2 linked regions of the Macaca mulatta genome follow. The protein of the gene in region 2 binds, or shares a complex with, the protein of the main gene of each other region. Links are inferred from orthologs where the notes say so. Each region holds a gene or a part of one and is shown on either strand. Other genes may lie near its edges.

Region 1 (7,910 bases), on a different chromosome or scaffold from region 2:
GAGCTGCTTTGTCCCTTTTACCATGTAAGGTCACAGTTAGAAAATCCTATCTATAAGGAAACACGCCTTTACTAGGCACTGAATCTGCTAGCACCTTGGTCTCGGGCTTTGCAGCCTCCATAACTGTGAGCAATAAATTCCTGTTATTTATAAGTGACTCAATGTATGGCATTTTGTTATAGCAGCACAAATGAACTGTGATACTATGTGTCTGGAAGATGTAAACAACTTGAGAACTTAGGTTTTTCTTAGGTACAATGGAGATAATACTAGTACCAGATTAGTGATGAAAAATGTTATGCAAAATATTTAGCACAAGCCATGTTATGCAGTAAGTACTTATAAGTGTTTACAGTGACGACTTCACAAGAGCTTAGCTGTAAAAGTTTGGGAAGTCAGGTTTTTCTAGTTGGCTTGGAAGACCATGTTAGTTGTCAGACAAGCCAGGGATTTTGAGTTACCCCAATTCTTGAGGGGAAGGAAGTAGAGTGGAAGAGGATCCAAAATTACTAATAGTCCTTCATGTGAGCTAGATTTTTGATATCTGTTGGTTTCGTGGAAAATCCAAACCTAATGTCATTTATTGAAATTCACCCTCTCGTGGATGGTCCAGTACTGAATTGAGTTATGTAAAATATCATTTGTGGAGTGATATTCATTTGTATACCTTTTCAGTTCAAAACAAAGTCAAAAGTCTCTCTCTCTCTTTCTCTCTCTCTCTCTCACACACACACATACACACACACACACACACACATACACACACACAGCCTTAACCCTGGCCACCTCTCTATTATTTCTGGAATCCCATATTCTATAAAACTATTTTAGTTTCTAACAAATGTCTTGGTCTTTATGATGGTCACCACCATGAAACACAGTTACTTTACACTTTCTTGCATTATTCATCAATATTCCCCGAGTAAAATTACTTGTTACACTTTTCCCATTTAAATTTGCATTGGGTAAGTGAGAGACATCTCCACAGATTGCTCAATTTTAGGAAAATAACCATTCCCCAGAAACACAAACGAGTCAAATCAAGATAGTTACCAGGAGCAATTCTTTATATTATCCAGTTGCACAACACACTTCTTGAATAAATGACATATCCTAATTTAGGATACATCACCAGATTCAAGTCAGAGAGTATCCTCTGCCAGTCAATAAGAGTGCGGGTCACTGGAAGATCCCTTCGTAGAATTTTTCTCAGGGCTTCATTGGATAACTCCTGTAATTCTTCCAAGACTGCAGCTTGAAATTTGTTCTCTTGCTCTTCCACAAGCCTTGCAAAACTTAGAGCCAGTTGAGCTTGGTTAACTATTTCCAAGCTTTCTTTCAGGTCCTTGGATATTTCAATATGAAGGTTGACACACCTGAAGAAGTGAGCTTGCACAAATATTCTTCCTGTTACTTGGGTTAGAAATGGGTTAACTTGGAAAATCCATTTAGATTTCCAAAGTCCATTCCAGCACTCTCCTGTTTCATAGTTGTGATCTTCAATACAAGCTATCAAGTACTCCTTACTTTTGACAGTTTTCCTCAGCACGTTGCAATTTCCTTTTGGATAGTGGTCATTCACATACAGTTTTAAGGCGCACAGAACAACAACTCTCAGATATTCTGTCTCATTCCGAATGATACCGTGACTTTGGATGTCTTTCAGCTGATTTTGAAGCAGGTCATATCTGAAAGAAAGTTTGCTTTGATGGTCAAAAAATCGGTAGTCGCCCATTACATTGTGGTGAGACAAGAGTACTGGATTTCCATCGATGCAGAGTGGTACAGAATATTTTTGGCAGTGTTGGTGGCCTGCACACTCACCTTGATGGTGCATAAGTTTTTCATCACGGATAAGCAGACAGAGATCATCAAAGGCATTTACAAATTCCCCTGGAGGTGCCTGTAATAACAGTCTGCGAATTACTCTTTCCTTGTCCTTCCTGCTGAGCACGCTAAGTGTCATGTTTGGTTGCAACAGAAGCAAAGCTTCTGAAATGAAGAGTGTTCAAAGGATAAGAAAACATTCCATGAGACACCTTTCCCATCAAGGTGTTAACATTGAAGCTGAAGGTTATTGTGTCTACCCATGAAAGCAGGCAGTCTAGGAAGGTCTGAGCCTCCTGATGAGGTCATAAGAAGCTTTCCTTGTGAAGTGTGGAACCTCTGATGATATCACAATGGGTATTCAGACCAAAAGGAAAAAATGACAGTCACCTGACAGTGTGGTGCCCAGCCAACCAGCTATACCTATTTTGAAGATTTTAAGAACTTAGCCTCCTGAACAGTCTTCTTCGAAAGTGGTGTGTCTCTGTGTGCATTATATGTTGTCAGGGATCTAGAGAAGCAGCCCAAAGTTTCAAGAGTGACAGCACTTTGCAACTTCAGGAATCACAATGGTGTTGATTTATACTCAGGCTCTCAGAGCAGCCACCCAAACCCACTGGAAGCACATTACATTGTGATGAAAGCTTCGAGGGGTTTAAACAAAATAGTAAAAAATAAAATGAGATACAATGGCAGTTCATGGAAAAATGCCAGACATCAGGGAAAGCTGCATTTTCAAATATTGTGGGTTTTGAGATGGTCAGAATGTAAGAAGCCAAACAGTTTCAAGGGCAGGGTAGTGCAGGTACTACATCTTGCTTACTGTTTCTACGGTGAAGTGTGAGCTAGCTTCAAAGAACAAAGGCGACAAACCACTGTGTGTTCTCTGCTTTCTCCCTAGAAAAGTGGTAACAGCTGAGGAGTATCAAGAAATTATTTTCTGCAAAGGGGCAGAGTTAATTGTATTTGGAACCCGTAACAGCACCTATTGGGGAAAGACTTCTAAGTGAGGAGAAACGGCTCTACAGGTCATGAAACTATGGAAATGAAATATCCATTGAGAGCTTCTTTCTGCCCCTCTTCTTTCTCCTGATTATCCTCTTTACTTGATGCTGTTACTCTTTTCGAAGAGTTCTGAATTTAAATCCTCTTCATTTAAGCTGAACTGCTTGTTCGATGTCTGTTCTGAGCTTTTCTAACTTTCCTTACATTCTGGTATCTTTTTCTTACAAGAAAATGAGCTTTATTTATTCAATTAAGTCATAACTATTAAATTTAAGGAGATCTCAATACATTTTAACAATCTGAAACTGAGTAGTTTTGCACAATTTTTACCTATATCTTTTATAATTTTGGTGATAATTGTCATTATCTCATTTCGATCTTAGTTTTTCAAATGGAAGTGTCCTAACTTTTGTAGTTTATCTATGATAAGTAAGCTTTAAAAATTTTTTTTTTGTTTTCTCTTTCATACCAAATATACACTTACCATGGTATTTTTGATGCTTTTTGATGGTACTTAAAATGTTACTGTCTTGAGTGTGTGTATAGCTGGGTATTTGACTAATGTAGTAATAATAACTTTATCAGTCATGGTTACTATTTATTGAACACTAAGTAGCAGAAACCGTGTTCAGTGACATATTAGGAATTCATCTAATGCTTCCACCTTCCTTAAGATTCAGGGTTAATATGATCACCTTTCTGGATTAGAGAACTAAAACAGAGAGATCAGGTGAGAGATGATCTTGAAGTCTGGTTGCCTCCCAACTTCATGCCTTCAAGCAATAGATTGTAATAATGTTTTAATGTATTTTCTAAGTAATGACTTTAATTCTCAAATTTTAACTTTAATTCTTTTTTTGTATTTTTATTGTGGTATACCCTTTCATACCTTTACTATAGCATAGTAACTACTTAATTTTTTTAAAAAAATATTATTTATCATACAATTATCCTATAACTTACTTTAAGCATATTCTTTAAAAATAAAAATAAGTACAGTAAATCAAATGTTTCTTTAGGAATTTTAAATACTCAGTGCCTTTCTATGAGAATTTCCTTAACTTTTTGTGCTTTCTACATGGTTTTTGTCGAAGATTCAGGATGACTTTAGAGGTGGAAAAATTAATCTAGAAAAAACTCAGAGGTTACTTGAAAAATTAGATATTCGGTGCAGTTATATTCATGTGAAACGGATATTTAAGGTAAGATGATATCCACCCCCTGCCTATCCTATCCTAGGAGGAACTTAATCCAATGTGAGTAAATGTCATATAAAGGTTAGTCTCTTAAGAAGAAAAACAATTAACTATACTAACTATATTTACAATCAAGATGGAGAGCATTTCGGTAGAAGGTAAAATTAGTTGTTGAGAAAATCTGAAATAATACCAGGAAATCAGTTTAGAATAATTTCCTGAGAATACAGAAATGCTAGCGTTAAACCTAGGATTGGATGTCTAACTACATCTAAATAATAACGGTAACTGTATTAGATGTTAGTGATTTATAGAATCAGTGGTGAATAAGCCGAAATTTAGCAGAAGGGAGGAAATAATACAGATTAGCACAGAAATAACTAAAATAGAAAAGAAAAAAATTAGAAGAAATTGAGGAAATTGAGACTTGTTTTTTTGAAAAGTTAAATAAAATTGACAAATACTTAGTAAGAGTATGACAAAAAGAGAGAGGACTCAAATAAATAAAATCAGAAATGAAAGTGGAGACATTACAACAGATTTCACAAAAATGAAAAACACATAGGGACTGTTATGAGCAATCATATACCATAAATTTGAACAATCTAGAAAAAAAGAGAAATTTGAAGAAACATATAACCCATCAAGATTGAACCAAGAAGAACTAGAAAGGTTAAAGAGACCAATAGCAAAAAGGAGATTGAGAGGCTGGGTGCAGTGATTCATGCCTGTAATCCCAGTGCTTTGAGAGGCCAAGGTGGGAGGATCACTTGGGGCTAGGAGTTTGAGATCAGCCTGGGTAACATAGTGACACCCTATTTGAAGACTTAATTAGTAATCAAAAACTGCCCAACGAAGAAAAGTCCAGGACCAAATGACTTCACAGGTGAATTCTACCAAAGATTTCAAGAAGAATTAATACCAATCCTTCTGAAATGCTTCTAAAAAATTGAAAAGGGAACACTTCCAGTTTTATTTATAAGGTCAACATCATCCTGATACCAAAGCTGAACAAAGACACCACAAGAAAACAAAACTTTAGGCCAATATTGCTGATGAACATAGATGCAAAATTGCCCGACAAAATAATAGCAAACCAAATTTATAGCACTTTAAAAGGATCATATTCCATGACCAAATAATATGTGTCCCTGGCATGCAAGGATGGCTCAACATACAGAAATCAATCAATGTAATATACCACCTCAACACAATGGAGTATAAAAATCACATGATTATCTCAAAAACATAGAAAAAGCATTTGACAAAATTTAACTCCCTTTCATGATAACTCTCAATAAATTGAGTATAAAAGGAACTTAACATAATAAAGTCCATATATGAAAAGCCTACAGCTAATATCACATAAAATAAACTGAAAAAACTTTTTCTAAGATCTAGGAAAAGGCAAGGATGCCCACTCTCACCACTTCTGCTCTAGATGGTACTGGAAATCCTAGCCAAAGTAATTAGTCAAGAAATGAAAATAAAAGGCAATTACACTAGAATGGCAAAAGCAAAATTATCTCTATTCACTGATGGCACAATCTTACATGTAGAAACTTCTGAAGATTTTGTCAACAAACAACCAGAAGGCCAGGTGTTGTGGCTCATGCCTGTAATCACAGTACCTTGGGAAGCTGAGGTGGATGGATTACCTGAGGTCAGGAGTTCAAGGCCAGCCTGGCCAATGTGGTGAAACTCCATCTCTACTAAAAATACAAAAATTAGCCAGGCTTGGTGGTGCATGCCTGTAATTCTAGTTACTCAGGAGGCTGAGTCATGAGAATTACTTGAACCTGGGAGGCAGAGGTTTCAGTGAGCTGAGATCGTGCCACTGCACTTCAGCCTGGGCGACAGAGCGAGAGTCCTCAAAACAAAAAAACAAAACAACAACAACAACAAAAACAACTGCTAGAACTATTAAATTCAGTAAAGTTGCAAGATACAAAATTAGCATGTAAAAATTTGTTGCATTTAAATTCATTAACTCTGAACTATCCAAAAAGAAATCAAGAAAACATTTTCACTTACATTAGCATTAAAAAATATACAATGCTTAAGAATAAATTTAACCAAGGAAGTGAAAAACTGGCACGCCAAAACTGTAAACCATTGATGAAACAAACTTTAAAAGTTACAAATAAACAGAAAAACATCCCATGTTAATATATCCGTACTACCCAAGGTGATCTACAGATTCAATGTAATCCCTACTAAAATCCCAATGACATTTTTGTTTTGTTTTTATAGGAACAGAAGAAACAATCCTAAAATTCCTATTGGAACCAAAAAAGACCCTGAATAACCAAAACCAATCTTTAAAAAAGAAATATAAAGGTGGAGGCATCACAATTTTTGGTTTCCAAATCTGTTTAAAATACTGTAGTAATTGAGGCAGTATGGTAGGGGCATAAAAACAAATATATAGACCAAAGGAACATAATAGAGGGCCCAGAAATAAACCCCTTTATATATAGTCAACTGATCTTCTGCAAAGGTACTAAAATACGCAGTGAGGAAAAGAGTAGTCTTTTCAATAAATGGCACTGGGAAAACTGGATATTTACATGTAAAAAATGAAATTGGACTCTGACCTTATCCCATACTCAAAAATCAACTCAAAGTCCATTAAAGACTTAAACTTAAGACCTGAAACTATGAAACTCATAGAAGAAAATAGGAAAAAAGCTTTTTGACATTGGGCTTGGCAAGAATTTCTTAGATATGACTCCAAAGGGATAGTAACAAAGACAGGTAACAAAAACTTGTCTAAAAATAGAAAAGTGGGATTACATGAAACAAAGTGGCTATTGCACAACAAAAGAAATAATCAACAAAAATGTAAAAGCAATTTACAGAATAAAAGAAAATATTTGCAAACCACATATCTATCTGATAAAGGAATAGTATCCAAAATTGAATCCCAGAACTCAATAGAATAAAAACCCCAAGTAACCTGATTAGAAAACGTGCAAAGAGATTGTATAGACATTTCCCTAAAGAAGCTATACAAATGGCCAACAGGTATATAAATAGGTGCTCAACATCACTAATCATCAGGGAAATGCAAATCAAACCACATGAGATATCACCTCATACCTGTTAGAATGATTATTATAAAAAGTATAATAGAAAAGTGTTGGCAGGAATATCGAGAAAAGGGAACTCTTATATACTATTGGGGTGAATGCAAACTGGTACAACCACTGTGGAAAACAATACGGAGGTTCCACAAAAATTAAAAATAGAACTGCCATATAATCCAGCAATCCTATTTCTGGGTATATACCCAAAGGAATTGAAATCAAGAGATATTTGTACTCCCATATATATTGCAGCATTATTTTACAATAGCCAAGATATGCAAGCAGTCTGTCCATTATGAATGAATAAAGAAAATATGGTACGTACATACAATGAAATATTACTTATCCTGAAAAACTAAAGAATATCTTGTTATTTGTGACAACATGGATAAAACTAGAAGACATTATATTAAGGGAAATAAGCCAGACACAGAAGGACAAATAGTGCATGACACCACTTATGTGAGGAATCTAAAACAGTCAAACTTATAGAAGGAGAGAGTCGAATGATAGTTACCAGGGCTGAGGGAGGGGAAAACAAGGGAGTGTTAGTCAAAGCGTATAGTTTGTCCCAGTGTGCTACTGAACAGCATTGTACCCGTGATAAATAACACTGTGTTGCATATTTAAAAGTGTAAGAGGGTAGATCTTAGATTGAGTATTCTTATCACACACAAAAGTAATAAAGAGGGTCCAGGTGTGGTGGCTCACGCCTGTAATTCCAGCACTTCGGGAAGCTGAGGTGGGCAGATCGCCTGACCTCACGAGTTTGAGACCAGTCTGTACAACGTGG
Region 2 (7,298 bases):
CATGGGGATGTGCGGTGCCCTGAAGAGTAAGGAGGAGCCACGCCAGCACCTGACCTCCCTCAGCAGGAGGCCAGCAGAGTGCCAGCAGCTACGGGCAACCTTGCAGAGCCCAGAGAGCTTTTATTTGAAAATGCAAAGCCCTCCTTAGGTGGTGGATTTATAGCTGGCTGAACATGCTTACCCTAGGGCACCTGCTCACTCATCTCTGCAGGTCAGCGCTGAGGCCAGCACCTGTGGGCACTGGCAACTGGCTATGAGCGGGTAACTCTACCTGTCTGGTAAGGCTGCCTCCGAGGTTCATGGTGCCAGAGCCGGATTTGTTGGTCTGCAGCCACAGCATCACCGTGGAGGTCAACTTGTAATGGGCAGTGCGGCCGCTGGATTTCTCCTGGAAGGACAAGACAGAGATCTGTTGAGCTGAGGGAGAGCCTGAAGTGGCCCCTTGAATTCAGGGTCATCCTAACATCTCCCTTCCTAGGTCATTATCACAATATTACCTTTTTTTTAATTGGAGACAAAGTCTTGCTCTGTCACCCAGGCTGGAGTGCAGTGGTGTGATCTCAACTCACTGCAGCCTCCACCTCCCAGGTTCAAGCGATTCTCCTGCCTCAGCCTCCCAAGTAGCTAGGATTACAGGCACCTGCCACTAAGCCTGGCTAATTTTCTTTGTGTTTTTGGTAGAGGTGGAGTTTCACCATGTTGGCCAGGCTGATCTTAAACTCCTGACCTCCAGTGATCTGCCTGCCTCAGCCTCCCAAACTGCTGGGATTACAGGCATGAGCCACTGCACCCGGCCTCACAATGTTATCTTTCTTATAAAATCCCAACTGGTTTTTAAAGGGACATTTGTAATTGTGTATTTCTTTTGAGAACTTAATCATTAATGACTACTGTAATCTTTTTTTTTTTTGAGACGGAGTCTCGCCCTGTCGCCCAGGCTGGAGTGCAGTGGCCGGATCTCAGCTCACTGCAAGCTCCGCCTCCCGGGTTCACGCCATTCTCCTGCCTCAGCCTCCCGAGTAGCTGGGACTACAGGCGCCCGCCACCTCGTCCAGCTAGTTTTTTGTATTTTTTAGTAGAGACGGGGTTTCACTGTGTTAGCCAGGATGGTCTCGATCTCCTGACCTCGTGATCCACCCGTCTCAGCCTCCCAAAGTGCTGGGATTACAGGCTTGAGCTACCGCGCCTGGCGACTACTGCAATCTTGACTTATCTTTATCCAAATGGCTTGGAGGCATTTCTCAGAATGAGGGGTTCAGAGATCATAGCATCCCCCTCACTGCATCTGCTAGAGAGCAGCGCGGCACTGTTTGGTGTGATTCTGTACTTAGTGGCCCCGGCCACCAGCTGCTGGGAGGCGGTACCTGCACTTCTACCACGTGGATGGAATCCCAGCAGCCTTTGATCTTCTTTGATCCATCTCCAGCCTTCTTTATGAGGATCACTCCAGCAAAGCCATGATCCAGATCCCAGAGGTAGACAGATGAGACGCCGCCTTCAAAATACCTGCAGGAAACAGGCCAATGTGCCTGTTAGATGCTAAAGGACAGATAATCAGCCTGGGTCCCAGGCTGTTGCTCAGCAAAGATTCTGGGATTTAGGGTCCTCCCTGCAACAGTTATAGGAGCCGATCCTTGGGTGTGTTCTGATTGTTCTCTGGCTCGGGGAGAGGGTGCAGCATTTTTGGGGGTGTAGTAGGTTTAGGCATCATAAAGATGAACTTGAGTTTGGGCTCTGCCACCTCCCTTAGCTTTGTGGTCTTTGGTTTACTGGACCTCTCTAGGCGTCACATTCCTCCCAGATAAAGAACGCAGCACGAGTGACATCCAGTGACAATCCATGCAGGCTATGACTACTGGAGTGACCACGGTTGTTCGATATTTCTGTCTTTTGGGTTACAAGGCAGATGAGAAAATACAGCAACAAACTCCCTACACGCTGATCCCTCCTGACCAGGGCTCCAGCTGGTCTTTCGGAGCAACTTCCTACAAAGCGCTAGCCGGAAATGAAGGGCTCAGCTTGAGACAGTGCTTCCTCCTCAAATCCGAGTCCATACAAAAACATCTCTCTCTCTTTTTTTTTTTTTTTGAGATGAAGTCTTACTGTCTCCCAGGCCAGAGTGCAGTGGCACCATCTCGGCTCACTGCAACCTCCACCTCCCAGGTTCAAACGATTCTCCTGCCTCAGCCTCCTGAGTAGCTGGGATTACAGGTGTGCACCACTGCGCCCGGCTAATTTCTGTATTTTTAGTAGAGATGGGGTTTCGCCATGTTGGCCAGGCTGGTCTCGATCTCCTGACCTCAAGTGATCCACTGCATCTGGCCCAGAAACATTTCTAATTATGATCAAATGGAAGAGGGATTTCTAATTACGATCAAATGGCAGAGGGAATGAAAAGGTTAGATGAGAAATGGGAATCAGTCTGGGATCCCAAACCCAACAGACCCAGGTCAACTACTGTGGCTCGCTGGGGCTGCCGTGAGCAGAGGTGAGGGGTGGAGTCAGCTGATGGGAACTGCAAATGCTGGTGATAACCAGCGAAATCTCATTTCTTGTGGCGAAATCTGTAGCCTCTCCGACCCCAATTAAGCCCCAAAAAGAGAAATCTCATCTCTGCTGATAACCAGTGAAACTGTAAGCAATCGCATCTCTCATGGTGAGCACATCTTTATCAGGAAGTCTGGGGCCTCTCTGACCCCTATTAAGCCCCAAAGCCCTGGTGCGACAGGCGTATTCTGGGAGCACACCGCCCTCAGCCCCAGACAGCTGGGAAGGTGGGCCCAGGCTTGGGAGTCAGACGGACCCAATGACAGCTCTAGCACGCCCAGCCCCAGCTATGAGCTATGCTCACGCATGCATGCGTCCAACTGTTTACTAAGGGACCAGTGGCGTGAACATGGACTTTAGGGACTTAATCTACTTTCTATGGCTGTTGAGAGACAAACAATTAGGAAAAGTAGACACCTACCAAACGGTTAATGTAAAATTAAGTACTAGAAATTAACATGTATCTGTAGATTATGTCTCACCAAAGCTATTCTATAATAAAAAATACAGACGGTAAATGTGAATATTTACAGAATGTGGGTGATGGGTATACAAGAATTCTCTGTATTTTTTTTTTTTTTTTTTTTTTGCAATTTGACAGTAAGTCATACTGTTCCAGACTAAAAAGCTTTTGTGAAAAATCAGTACGCGAATACACCAGAGTGTAATGTAACTAAGAGACCATCAGACCAAGGAAGCAAAGCATCCTCCCAGGAGAATGAGGGTGCCCTGGCTGGTCTGCCCTCACTCCAACCCTCAGACCTGTGGAGCATCCAGGAGGGCTGATACTCAGGTGGGCTACCCTTGGCCCCGCCCCGAGGGCTCCCTCAGGCAGGCTGCAGCCAGCCCCTGCGGCAGGACCACATTCTGTCCCGTGCCCTCTGTGGCACTAACCACTGTGATTAAGCTATCAAACCGAATACACCATGGTGCGCCCACAGGCGAGTCTGCAGGAGGGCATATGAGGGCAGGGCTGCCTGGCTAACACAAGTGCCACTCAGGGAACACCTGTGGGATGGATGTGTCAGGTGCCAGATGCTGAGCTCATCACTGGTCAAACTGCACAGGGTGGGGAAGGGCCTGGCTCTGGCAAGGTGTAGCACAGGCATCCTTTCCTTCTAGAGGAAAAGGACCACTGGATGAACAGACACACCTGTGGGGCTCAGCGCTCACTGCTGGCAGAGGTGATGTCCAGGACACCGGCCAATACTGGCACTCAGAGACCCCACTCCAGAAGATCATTTCCTTTATTCCAGTCTGTCTCCAAACTCTCCCTTCTTGGGGCAAGGCGAGCTAAGCAGATGAGTGTTTTGGTCCAGGGCCCAAGGCCCCATCTGCCTCCATAGGGCCCTCCTGGTCTGGACCGGCCCCATACAGAGTTGGAGAGATCAGGCCATTCTGGAATGTTCCCGGAACACCTGGAGAGGGACTGACTGCCCCTGCTAGACCTGAGGTTTAGCAGGGCTCAGATGACTGGCAGCATGGGCTCCGTGAGCCTTTCTGGCTTATTCTCCTGGATTCTTGCAGGTTAACTTACGAGGCACACGAACACTACCGAGAGAAGAGCAACTCAGAACAGACCTGCTAATACCCTTCCTGTTGGCGACAGATGGCTTGGTTCTAGCACACGGTTTTCTCTTTCAGCCAGCTTATAGGGAGAGCAGCCCCACATCAAAAGAGGGGGAAGAAAAACAAACAAAAAAACCCTACTTTGCTGGCAAAAAGGATGGGCCAATAATTCCTTCTTTCCTTTGGCCATTCTGGAAAGAAGGCTTGCAGCCCAGGGGCATTTCATCCTTCCGCTCCTTCACAGATCCACACAGAGCTGCGGTGCTGTGCCCGCCCAAGGCTTGCTCTCCTCTGTGTGCTGGGACACTGGGGAGAGGCAGGTCAGGCTGCCCTGGAGGGGAACCAGGAGAAATCCCGATGGCCTGACACTGTCGACACCCTCCGGCGACCAGTTCAAAAGCACCAGGTGGCCCACGGCTGCTTCCCCTCAGTCCCATCCCTGAGCGTTCCATTTCTTCCAGAAAAATAAAACAACCGCATTAAAGTTTTATAGGGTGGAACTGGCCGTTTCCACTCCAACGTCCCACCCTGTGGCCTGGCTCCCACTACAGGCAGCTTCTCCTTGGCAGGCCACAGTGACCAGATCTAAAGTTTCAAATGCTGGAGCCAGGGGAGGTAAAAATGCAAGCTCAATTGTGACCTCCTTGCGGGGTTACTATTCTTTTACCCACAATTTTAAAACTTACTGCAGGAACATCATTGTTTTTTTAAAAAGGAAATCTGAAAATTAGCCCACAATACCATAAATCAACTTATCCCATAAATCTGATTTTTCCAAATTCCCTTCCAGTCCAGATGCATTTTTATATAACCGTAAGCACAGCAAGAGCACCACGCTGAATTCGGCTTTTTACATTTGGCACAGAATCATTAGCATTTTTCCATGGAGCCACATGATCTCCATAATCATTTTTAACAGCAAGGATAGTATTCAGTCGGATAGTATCCTAATTTACCGTCGATCTGACTTTTAATAAAGAAACGACGACGACAGAGTTAGAGGCGGCGTGGTTGGTCTCTCGCTTTGAATCTGTTCCCTCTCTGAATCGGGATGTTCCAGCTGAGGTGAGTCAGACGTGCTGAGACCTGGCCTCTGCAGGTACAGCTCAGACACTACAATAATTCAAGAATGGGCTTGCATTCCATTCACCAAAAGGGATCACCAGGGACTGGAGCAGCCACAAGTCTCAACCTGACATTCCGAGACAAAGGGAGCAGAGGACTGCACGGTTAGAAACGCTTGTTTCAGAATCGCCCAGAAGCACCGGCCTCTCCTGTGAGTGCTGTCGGGATGGCTCCGGGACCTTCAGGAGGGAGATGACCGCAGGGCGCACAGGCAGCGCCCCCACTACTTGGTTTATGGCTCTGCTCTGCGCGTGAAGCATTAATTAAGGAGGGACCACAACATGTTTTTGAAAATTTATTTCTTACCTACTGTACTTTGATCATAATGACATGAAACAAGGAAAAAAATAATTTTTATGTGGTTTGCATTTATGAGTTTTTACATAAAGGCTTTTGTGGGTATTTTAAGAATGTGCTAAAACGTTGTCTGAAACCACATAAAGCCATCTGAGGAGTCGCCCGCCAGAACTAACAGCACACACATGGAAGCACTTTAACTGGCCTTTGTATATTTAATGAGTCAAAAAGTATTAATATTGTTTAAATGCTAACATGCTATTTCAATAAAGTGGCTCTACCATCGCCTGCGACTCACTCTCAGGCCTCGCACATCCATGTGAGTGAATGATCAAATGTGGCCAAGCGCTAAGAGCAGGCTGCAGAGGAATTCACCCGCCCTGCCTTGGCCCCTGCCCATGCCTGATAATTTCAAAATCCCCCAACTCTGCAGGGAGGGAGGAATGGGCCCAGGACTCACTACCACAGCTCAGCTGATTTGGGCTCAAGAGGAAAAGCCCAGAGAGTCCCTGCAGTGAGGTCTCTGGTCAAGGAGGCAGAAGGAGAGCTTTTTATTTTATTTTTTTGAGACAAAGTCTCGCTCTGTCGCCTAGGCTGGAGTGCAGTGGCATGACCTCAGCTCACTGTCACTTCCACCTCCCGGGTTCAAGTGATTCTCCTGCTTTAGCCTCCCAAGTAGCAGGGATTCCAGGGGTCTGCCACCACGCCTGGATAATTGCCTTTTTTTTTTTTTTTTTTTTTTTTTTTTTGAGACAGAGTTTTGCTCTTGTTGCCTAGGCTGAAGTGCAACGGCACGATCTTGGCTCACTATAACCTCTGCCTCCCAGGTTCAAGCAATTCTCCTGCCTCAGCCTCCCAAGTAGCTGAGATTACAGGCATGCACCATCACGCCTGGCTAATTTTGTATTTTTAGTAGAGACGGGGTTTCTCCATGTTGAGGCTGGTCTCGAACTCCTGACCTCAGGTGATCTGCCCACCTCGGCCTCCCAAAGTGCTGGAATTACAAGCATGAGCCACCGCGCCCGGTCTAATTATTGTATTTTTAGTAGAGATGGGATCTCACCATGTTGCCCAGGCTGGTCTCTAACTCCTGGCCTCAAGTGATCCACCAGCCTCGGTCTCCACTTAAGTGTTGGGATTATATAGGCGTGAGCCATCGCGCCTGGTCAAGAACCTCTTTTCAACATGCAGGCCTAGGACCAGGCACAGTGGCTCACATCTGTAATCCTAGCACTTTGGGAGGCCGTGGTGGGAGGACTGCTTGAGCCCAGGAGTTCGAGGTCAGCCTCTATAAAAAAAGAAAAAAGAAAGAAAAAAACAAACCGTGAAGGCCCAAAGAGAAAAGCATGGGCTTTTCCTAGGCTTCTTTCCTAAATGGAAAGCCAGGCAGCACAGGGAGCACAGGGCTGAAATCAATACCCACAGTCAAGAGGCTGAACAACACGCTCAAATCAGGGCTCCCCAGTGGCCAGGACAACACAGGGACTAGCTTGCAAAGACTGCGGAGAAGTCTGCTTAGACAACTGTTGAACCATGAAGTCGGGGGGGCCTCAGAAGCTCCAGGAAGATGAGGAGGGGGTGAAATGACAGACCAACTCAGGAATGACTGGGAGCAAACTGCTGGAGTCACCCGTTTGCTTGTGTCCACCGAAGAGCTAACTCCTTCAACGGAGAGCCATCAGTTTTACCAACGGTCCTGGCGCCTTTTAAAACTTTCCTAACATAGATTAACATTATGTTTTGTTTTGTTTTTTGAGACA

The links.
Region 1: CAPZB (region 2) and CAPZA3 share a complex: the UniProt entries of both Homo sapiens proteins name them as parts of the WASH complex. The link is inferred for Macaca mulatta from reciprocal best matches to the Homo sapiens genes CAPZB and CAPZA3.

Annotation. Positions count from the first base shown.
Region 1 is NC_133416.1:21,193,686-21,201,595, reverse strand, and holds CAPZA3 (F-actin-capping protein subunit alpha-3), read right to left. Parts: upstream 4,151-7,910; 5' UTR 4,035-4,150; coding exon of another isoform or gene 3,911-4,034; 5' UTR 2,878-3,910; coding exon of another isoform or gene 2,867-2,877; 5' UTR 1,967-2,866; coding exon 1,067-1,966; 3' UTR 1,047-1,066; downstream 1-1,046. Other genes in the region: PLCZ1 (1-phosphatidylinositol 4,5-bisphosphate phosphodiesterase zeta-1), read left to right, coding at 2,867-2,877, 3,911-4,034. UniProt on the Homo sapiens protein: F-actin-capping proteins bind in a Ca(2+)-independent manner to the fast growing ends of actin filaments (barbed end) thereby blocking the exchange of subunits at these ends.
Region 2 is NC_133406.1:221,612,176-221,619,473, reverse strand, and holds part of CAPZB (F-actin-capping protein subunit beta), read right to left. Parts: intron 1,507-7,298; coding exon 1,365-1,506; intron 389-1,364; coding exon 272-388; intron 1-271. UniProt on the Homo sapiens protein: F-actin-capping proteins bind in a Ca(2+)-independent manner to the fast growing ends of actin filaments (barbed end) thereby blocking the exchange of subunits at these ends.